Arabidopsis thaliana: one gene and its partner. The protein of the gene in region 1 interacts with the protein of each later gene in a pairwise test. Each region holds a gene or a part of one and is shown in the gene's direction. Other genes may lie near its edges. The genes, in order: AT3G56820 and LUL1.

Evidence for each region.
Region 2: the proteins of AT3G56820 (region 1) and LUL1 interact in a protein complementation assay, tested with the Arabidopsis thaliana proteins (one large-scale study listed by BioGRID).

What each region holds. Positions count from the first base shown.
Region 1 is NC_003074.8:21,039,085-21,043,742, reverse strand, and holds AT3G56820 (RmlC-type cupin), read left to right. Parts: upstream 1-1,982; 5' UTR 1,983-2,031; coding exon 2,032-2,368; intron 2,369-2,682; coding exon 2,683-2,807; coding exon of another isoform or gene 2,808-2,837; exon of another isoform or gene 2,838-3,481; coding exon 3,482-3,682; 3' UTR 3,683-3,998; downstream 3,999-4,658. Other genes in the region: AT3G56830 (YCF20-like protein (DUF565)), read left to right, coding at 1-54, 448-855, 956-962.
Region 2 is NC_003076.8:759,689-763,546, reverse strand, and holds LUL1 (RING/U-box superfamily protein), read left to right. Parts: upstream 1-1,706; 5' UTR 1,707-1,879; coding exon 1,880-2,322; intron 2,323-2,439; coding exon 2,440-2,905; intron 2,906-2,992; coding exon 2,993-3,097; 3' UTR 3,098-3,228; downstream 3,229-3,858. Other genes in the region: DIP2 (E3 ubiquitin-protein ligase), read left to right, coding at 208-477; AT5G03204 (uncharacterized protein), read left to right, coding at 1,150-1,260; CPUORF47 (peptide upstream protein), read right to left, coding at 3,399-3,858. UniProt on the Arabidopsis thaliana protein: Acts as an E3 ubiquitin-protein ligase, or as part of E3 complex, which accepts ubiquitin from specific E2 ubiquitin-conjugating enzymes and then transfers it to substrates (in vitro).

The sequences.
Region 1 (4,658 bases):
TTCCCTCTGTCATTTCCTTCATCCTGCACAGCCTCTGTTGGTCAGACATCAAAGGCAAGTTTCTAACATTTTCAAGCATCAATGTGTGGCTTGAAAGTTAGAGTTCCTGGTGTGGCTTTTTATATAATGATCTGCTGGAAATTCAATGGTTGAGGATTTTGGCAAAACCTGAAATATCTCTTGCAGATCTCTGTATATTGTCTATAAAGGCAGAGACCATACTAACCAGTAAAATCCATGCTTACATATATATACAAAGCAATGATATATAAATCATGTTTTTTTTGTGCTTTATCGGACTTAATATGGAGTAAGTGAAATCCTTAGACCTCCAAGTTTGCTTAGACTTCTCGATTGTTGTGAGATGTGCTACTGTCTTAAAGAAGGTCTTATGTTGAATCCATTGTCGAGTGTCCAAGTTTAAGTGGGTCTTTTGCAATTTTTCAGGAGGATGTCATGGACAACTATCAAAAGCTCGGTTGGTGGGGACAGATTCGATCCAGCATCTGGTTCTTCAAGTAATAATAGCTCCAGAGGTCTACGGCTAATCAAAGCCATACAAGTTCTCAGAAGTAAGCTTCTGGTGAAAATTCAGGAGATAAAGAAAGATCTCCCCAAGAAACTGTTCTTTCTCTTGGTGGGATTCTACTCTGCAACTGCTTTCTCTACATTCATAGGACAAACAGGAGACTGGGATGTTCTATCTGCTGGATTGGCTGTGCTTGTAGTTGAATGCATTGGAGCTTTAATGTACAGAGCTTCTATTCCATTAATCAACAAGATGCGGAGCACGATCACCATGTTTAACTATTGGAAGACTGGACTCGCCCTGGGACTGTTCCTAGACTCATTCAAGTATGAAGTTTATGAAAGAAAGTTTATCAGTTTTTGTCTTTACGCTCTTGTGATGGTTCCAGTTAATGAAAAGTGTGAAAACCCTTTTGACTGGACACAGGTTTTAGCTTGGACCTCGGAAAAGGCAGCGTAACCTGGCTCAAGAATGGAGAGTGGTCAGCAAATTTTTGAAAAGCTGTGTCCCCTTTATGCCTGAAACCAATACATGAGGGTTGTGAAGACTTTAACGTTCGATGAAGACAAATCTTATGTTTCAGCGTTTCAAATCACAAGGTAGAAGACATAGACCAAACCTTCGAACCTACCAAAGGCCAGTCACCAGCAAACAATACTCGAGACTTGTCTTTAATACCTTGTATATGATTCTCAGTCGAAGCATCATTGAACTGCAGATCGATAATTATAAAAACGTTGATCCCTGAAACATCTTCCACTTTTCAGACTTTTGAAGTAATTTCGAAAATTTCCACCTTTCTTCTTTAGGAGGATCCAGCTTTTTTTTTTAACACACACTCATCAAATTCCAGTTTTCCTCTGTGCGCACAGATCAGATCACTGATCTTCAAGTATCACCAGCTCACAATTTCTTATGGTCTTTCCTAGTGCTGCAATTGATCTCAAAAGAGCACACAGAGGCAGAAGCAAGATAGTTTCAAACCATGACGACGTTGTCAAAATCTCCGACAAGAACCAGATGGCTAAGCCCATGACATATATTGAACCAGATGTCTAATGTCTCTTATTGATATGTTCGCGTTTGCTTATAGATGCGTAAAGAGTCTATTTTTCTAAACGTCCCACATCGACAAGTTAGAGAGCATTGGTCATAAGATGTGTAATATATAAAGAAAGCTGAGCCCATTGTCCAATTCATACCTTTCTCGGCCTTTTGGCTAAGATCAAGTGTAGTATCTGTTCTTATCAGTTTAATATCTGATATGTGGGCCATCGGCCCACACGATATTAACTCTATTTTTTAAGGGAGAAAGCCCACTAAGATAGCTTGCTATCTGGGCTTTCAAGAGTCGCCCATGCGTTGCACTACTGCAAGGGCTGGCTCAACCCGCCAGCTAACCAGTCAAATTTTGTCTCTCTAATTAATCAAACTCTATAAAACAAAATTAATTAATTAACACCAAATCAAAATGAACAGAGGAAGATAAAGAAAGTTGGAAAATGGCAAACCCTAGAAGAGTAGTGATCGAGAACCAGAGATTGTCACCTTTAATCAACCTACTGAAGAAGCCTCAAGCGATTCCTCTGCTTCTCTCGTTGTTCCTCTTGCTCACATGGATCTCCCTCAGGTTACAACACTCTTCACAATCACACGTCTCTTCGTCCTCTTCACATCCGAAATCGACGGTAAATAGTCATCCCGATTTGAAAGTTTACGACGACGACGATAAGGCTAATTTGGTCCGGTTCGGTTTGGCGTCGCTTTCTCCTGCTCGGAAAGACGACCGTGGTTGGTTGCTTGATCCCGTTATCCTTGCTCGTGATTCTGAGCTCAAAGGTTCTGATCAATTCTTACGAATGTTAATTAGGAAGTTGATAAACAGCAATTCGTATAGGGTTCTTGAGTATATTGAAACTGAGAAAATCTGTAGCTTAAATTATCATTTTCATTTTCTTCCTGAGATTAATAATGTATTGAGGTTAAAATAATTTTGGAAGCATGTATCGAGAAAAGTATCTATGTCTTTAGTCACTCTAGGAATGATAATCTTTGGAGTGACTGCCTAACCTTGAAGGAGACTATTGTGTAATCCTAAGTTTCTCTTTTCTCGGTACTGGAGATTCACATTTCATGTTTTCACTTGTTTGAAGGTGGAGCCGCATCGTGTGTTTCCATTCATGTTGGTGAAATACGGCCTGGTGGATTGAGGGGAAACCATAGACACCATACCTGTAATGAGACGTTTGTCATATGGGGAGCCAAGACAAAATTCAGGGTAAGTCTCATCATCCATCTCATTGATTGAAACATAATGGAAGAGTTATAGTCTGTTGAACACCTCTAACAGAAAGGAATTTCTGTTTTTGCTTATCTAAGTATCCAATGCTTCATTGAATGGTATGTGATAACTCTTGGTAAAGAAGGTGGAAAGGAGAGTTCAGAGTTTTTCCTAATGCTATGCCAACTTAACTAAACCTGTGTGACATGATGTGTGTAAGTAGAGGTTTGAACAGCTGCAGGAGCAGGCTTATCTTTGGTTGGTTTGAGGGTTTGGGAGTGTTTAAGGTGTCTAGACAAACTCTAGATTTCAGTTCCTTTGATGTGGTTTTCTGATTTTTTGTCTTAGATTCTGCGTTGGGACTCTTTTTATTGAGATAAAGGTGAAAATCACTTCTGAATCTATCATAAAGATGTTCTTGACTATTGGACTAATATCATCAGTCATTTACTCACGGATCACTGAACCACTAATCACTGTCTAAGAATGAAAAATCGAGTTTCTTCCATTAAGATGTTTAGTAATGTGACTAAGTGGGCTTATCTTACTTGTTTGAACCTTTTTCCTGTGATGATTGTGCCCTGGTTTTCCATTTCTTTACTGCTCTCGGGTCAAGATGAACCAAAATCATCAATCAAACATTGTTTATGGACAAACCTATATGAATGCAGCTGGAAAACCACGAAGTCGATAAAGGTTACGCCGAAGTGTTAATTGGAGAGGATGAGGTAGCTGTAGCTGTTAGTCAGAGTGGCACGGCTCATGCTCTAGTAAATGTAGATCCTGTGCGTTCTACTTTCTTCATAGGCTGCCAAGACCATATGCAGAACAACAGCTCAACTAGCGACTACAAAGTATGGAATGATCTATAAACCAAAGTGGGTTAGTTTAGTTTCTCTTGTTCATTCAAATTTTCATTGGCTTTTCTTTCTTTCGAGCCCTTATTTGTATAGAGTAGGCTTTGTTTTGACTGGTCAGTCATATTGTTACTGAGATTATAAACCTGAAACTTCCAATGTTGTGTTCATTGATATGATGGTAAGATTAGTCTGATCAGTGAGAATCAATTCGTATGTAGAGTTTGTTGTTTCTTCACAGCTGAATGTGCAATGCATGTCTTTCTAAAAAAATCTTATTGCAATTTGCCAACTCAGCACTGTAATCAATCAATTACGAAGTCTTATTATTTATGATCAAAATGTTTTATGTATTTTAAAAACTTCAATCACAATTATATTTGACAGATGGAAATATATCTCTACATGTAAAATTTGTGAGCAGTGTTAGTTTTTCTGCTTACCGAAAATTGTTAAATTAAAGCATAAATTGTTTTCTTCAAACGTGTAAATGATTTATGGTCTCAAAACAGAGTGCCATTAATGATGCAATTACAATTACTCGTACAAAAAATATCTAATTCTTATAGGATTGATAAAAAAAGCTCTAAAAGTTTTCTCTGTCCAGCATGCACAAGGTCATGAATCTTAAAGAACACTCTTAATAATGCCCTTTTGTTTCTCATAGAGCCTTGTGCTAAACTCCTAAATGCCTAGTATTTGATTAGGGTTCTTAATTTTGTTAATGGAATCCCCATCATGTTGTATTCGAAGGTCTAGTTGAAGTTTATCTAGAGTTGAGTGATAATTTACTTTGTAAGCCAGTAAGCACTAATTAAACTTCAAAATAGGAAACAAAACATGAAAGACACTATAATGTCTAGCCAAAAAATGACATTATAATGTCTATAGCTAATAAGTAAAGTGTCAATGCTTTGGAATTTGCCATGTGCAAATGGACCAACCTTAAAGTAAAAAAAAAAACGTAAAACAAAAGTGAAAAGGAGAATAA
Region 2 (3,858 bases), on another chromosome or scaffold:
ACACGTGTTGCACATTCGAGACTTGTTGATAATGACGACAACAAGAGGTTCTAGAATATTCGTGTTGGTTTCATTATTATTAGCAAATAAGACCAAGTCAACAAACTAACTTAAACATTGTGGATCGTCCACTTGTCCGACTCTTACGTCAAACCCATCATTGTTCCACATATCTCCACGCGTCAATCTCTCTATAAATACGAACAAATGAACACGTATCAATTCAACTCAAAAAGTAACAATTTGAATTACTTCCGCAAATCTAAAATAATATCTAGTGAAGCGAATATGTGTTTCTTTGATAATCGGTGCGATCAGAATCTGACGGTGGTGGTGGATGTGGCGTGGTGGATGGAGGCTGTTCCTCCACAAATCATTTCTCCGGCGAAGCCATCGGTTTCTCCGATTCTTGAGACGATTTTAGAAGGCGGAGAGACCGAAGAAGACAATCAAGAACAAGAAAACGAGGACGTGTAAATTGTAATGATCATTTTGTTACTCGGTCTTGGGTTTAAGATAGACTCTTGTTGTTGTTGTTGTTTTTTCTATAACTGTATAAGATGAGATTTTGTATTGTATCTTTTGTACAATCAAATCTCAGTTCTTTGTGAAATTTTCATTCAACTTTCACATCTTGTACGCTCGGTGATCTGTTGTTATATGCTCACGAGTTGGTAATTAAAGACAAATCTTAATATACTTTCTAACCGAACCGGGACGATAACCGGTCCACGACAAAAAATCAGTATCTTCAAATATCAAACCAAACTTAAACCTGAAACCAGTCTCACCGCTATTTCTGTTTGGTGCGATCATTTTCTCAACCAAAAGAATCTAATTTACATTAATTTTTAATAAAGACATGTATGATTTATCTGCAAACTAAAGCAGTGTACGCATACTTATGTTTCAACTTTCGAGCATCACCTAAATATGAAACATAAATATCACGTGCGATAAGTATTAAGCTGCGTCCTATAAAAAAGTATACAAATATATAAAGATCACTTGATGATTAGTTAATTACACTACTACTATTCCTCTCTATCTCTATAAATATCAGCAATAACAATAATTTCCACATAGATCTTCTCAACACAGTCGAAAGCTGCCGAAGTCTAAATCGAAGAAAGAGTATATTTACAAATCATGGCTAGGATGATCGGACCATTCGAAACTGTACCGGCGATTCTTGTTTATCCGATGAGGGTTTCAGCTTCGCCTTCGCTGGGGACAATTTATGAGGAACACGATGAGTAAAATTTTAACAAGACAAGATCAAAACTCGAGTGTTTAATTATTTTTTAATCCATTTTAATGAAATATTCATTTTGAAATATATCTTGATAGTGCTTTCTATTTCTTGGTTGATTTCCACTTTAAACTCTTTTTTATCGACGTTATTATGATCTCCTATATAATCAGACATAAGAGAAGATGTTTCTTAATGACGATCAGTGCAAGATGTTTCTTAATGACGAGCAGTGCTTCTTGTAATCGCCGGTATTAATGGATGTGTTTCTTTGTTTTCCGATCAACCTCCAAAACCAATCTCGTGTCTCCGGTTTTGTCATTTCGTTTCTTCTTATTTTGTAACCGTGATATTGTTGTGAGGCCTTGGGCCTATTGCCTGCCTAGTGCTACTGATAATGATTTCTTTGTTTTATGTGATTAAAAGTAATAATCAATTTCCCATGGTAATTAATCAAGTTTAATACTAATTTATAATATATACAAATAAACGTTTTGGTGTTTCTTCGTCGACGTCGCTATCTCCAATCTCATTACTCCCCTTTCTCAATGATCATAAAACCTACTTCGATTCTACTCCTTATCAACTGAATCACCGAAAAACCTCACCTTTTTTCTTTTTCCGATCATGGGGAATCTGATCAGTTTGATCTTCTGCTGCGGGAGAAGGCAGAGGAGCAATATTCCTCCGGCGATGGAAACGGCTCCTCTTGAACTCCCACCGAACAGATTTGTATTCGCCGCCGTGCCACCATATCTGAACCCTAACCCTAACTACGTTGACCAGTATCCAGGTAACTGCCTTCCTCCGCCAGTAACTGAGCCGCCGATGCTACCGTACAATTTCAACCATTTGCATCACTATCCTCCCAACAGTTACCAACTACCTCATCCTTTGTTTCACGGCGGTAGATACCCTATACTGCCGCCTCCTACGTACGTCCACCAGAAAGCCGTCACGATTCGTAACGATGTTAATCTGAAGAAGAAGACTTTAACGCTCATACCCGACCCGGAGAATCCGAATCGACTTCTTGTCTCCTTCACATTTGATGCATCCATGCCCGGAAGGTTTTACTTTCAAACTATGAAATGATCAAATTTAGTTAAAAGTTTGAATCTTGTTTGAATCAATCAATGGAGTAATATAAATGACTTAGCTTTTGTTGTTTTGGTTGGCGAGAACAGGATCACAGTTGTTTTCTTTGCTACAGAAGATGCAGAATGTAATCTTAGAGCTACAAAGGAAGATACTTTGCCTCCAATCACTTTTGATTTCGGAGAAGGACTTGGTCAGAAGTTCATACAATCATCTGGAACGGGTATAGACTTGACGGCGTTTAAAGATTCCGAGCTATTCAAGGAGGTGGATACAGATGTCTTCCCGTTGGCGGTTAAGGCGGAGGCAACTCCAGCGGAAGAAGGAAAGTCTGGTTCCACCAATGTGCAGATTACTCAAGTGGTGTATACCAAGGAGAAAGGAGAGATTAAAATAGAAGTGGTGAAGCAGATACTATGGGTGAATAAGAGGAGGTATGAGCTGCTTGAGATTTATGGGATTGAGAACACGGTTGATGGTTCCGATGAGGGAAAGGAATGTGTTGTATGCTTGTCTGAACCACGCGATACAACTGTTCTTCCTTGCAGACACATGGTATAGTGTTCATCATACTTAAAATTAGCTCATATAAAAAAAAAATTGAACTTCTTTTGAAATGGTTTGTGTATTTCTGTTTGGCAGTGTATGTGTAGCGGGTGCGCAAAGGCGTTAAGGTTTCAGACAAATCTGTGCCCAGTTTGCAGACAACCTGTTGAGATGCTTTTGGAGATTAACAAGAACGGATGAAATGGAGATGGAGAATGAACAAATTTAGTTAAGCAATCGACTTGTGTAATATATGCCATGCTTAATTAAGACGTAAAACGTTATGGTTCAATATATTATAAGTGGAAACTGAGTTCTTAAATAGCAATGATAAACAGATAGGCAGCTTCTTATTTAGTTATAGGTGCTTGGCCAGGAGCTGTGGTGGCCGAGGACCAACTATGGCAAACACAGAAGGTGATGGCATTACAACTGAGACAAAGACAGACACGAATCGACGTAGATAAGACTAAGGCGAAGCGAGATTGAGTTTTACATTGGTTTAGTCTTCCCACCATTGATGAACAAACACACCTCTGGCTCTCAGAGTTTGAAGCATGTTGATGCAGTCTGACTTGTGGTTGGAACAGCGGAGGAAAAGCTCATCCACGTAGCATATGACTCCTGTTTCCAGTAAAACAGTTAGGAACTTCATTTCCACTTGGTTTGTGTTCATCTTAAGGACTACAAAGTCTGCGTATTTCGCAGTTTCCTCAAACCAAGCAAGGAAATCGAATCTCTCATCTTCTGGAAATGGTTCTAGCTGTTCAAGCGGAGTTATCTTTTTCCCTGTCGAGTTGTTCTCAGCCAAATCCGGATGGTAAACAAAGGTGACGCCGGGTTTCTTGACATAGGATAGCATTACTGAAGTGTTGTGGTCGACAAAGTAGACATTGAATGCTTTGCTGTCGAGTGGGTATAACGGAAAGAACCAGTTTGGAGTTAAATTAGCATCCATGTGC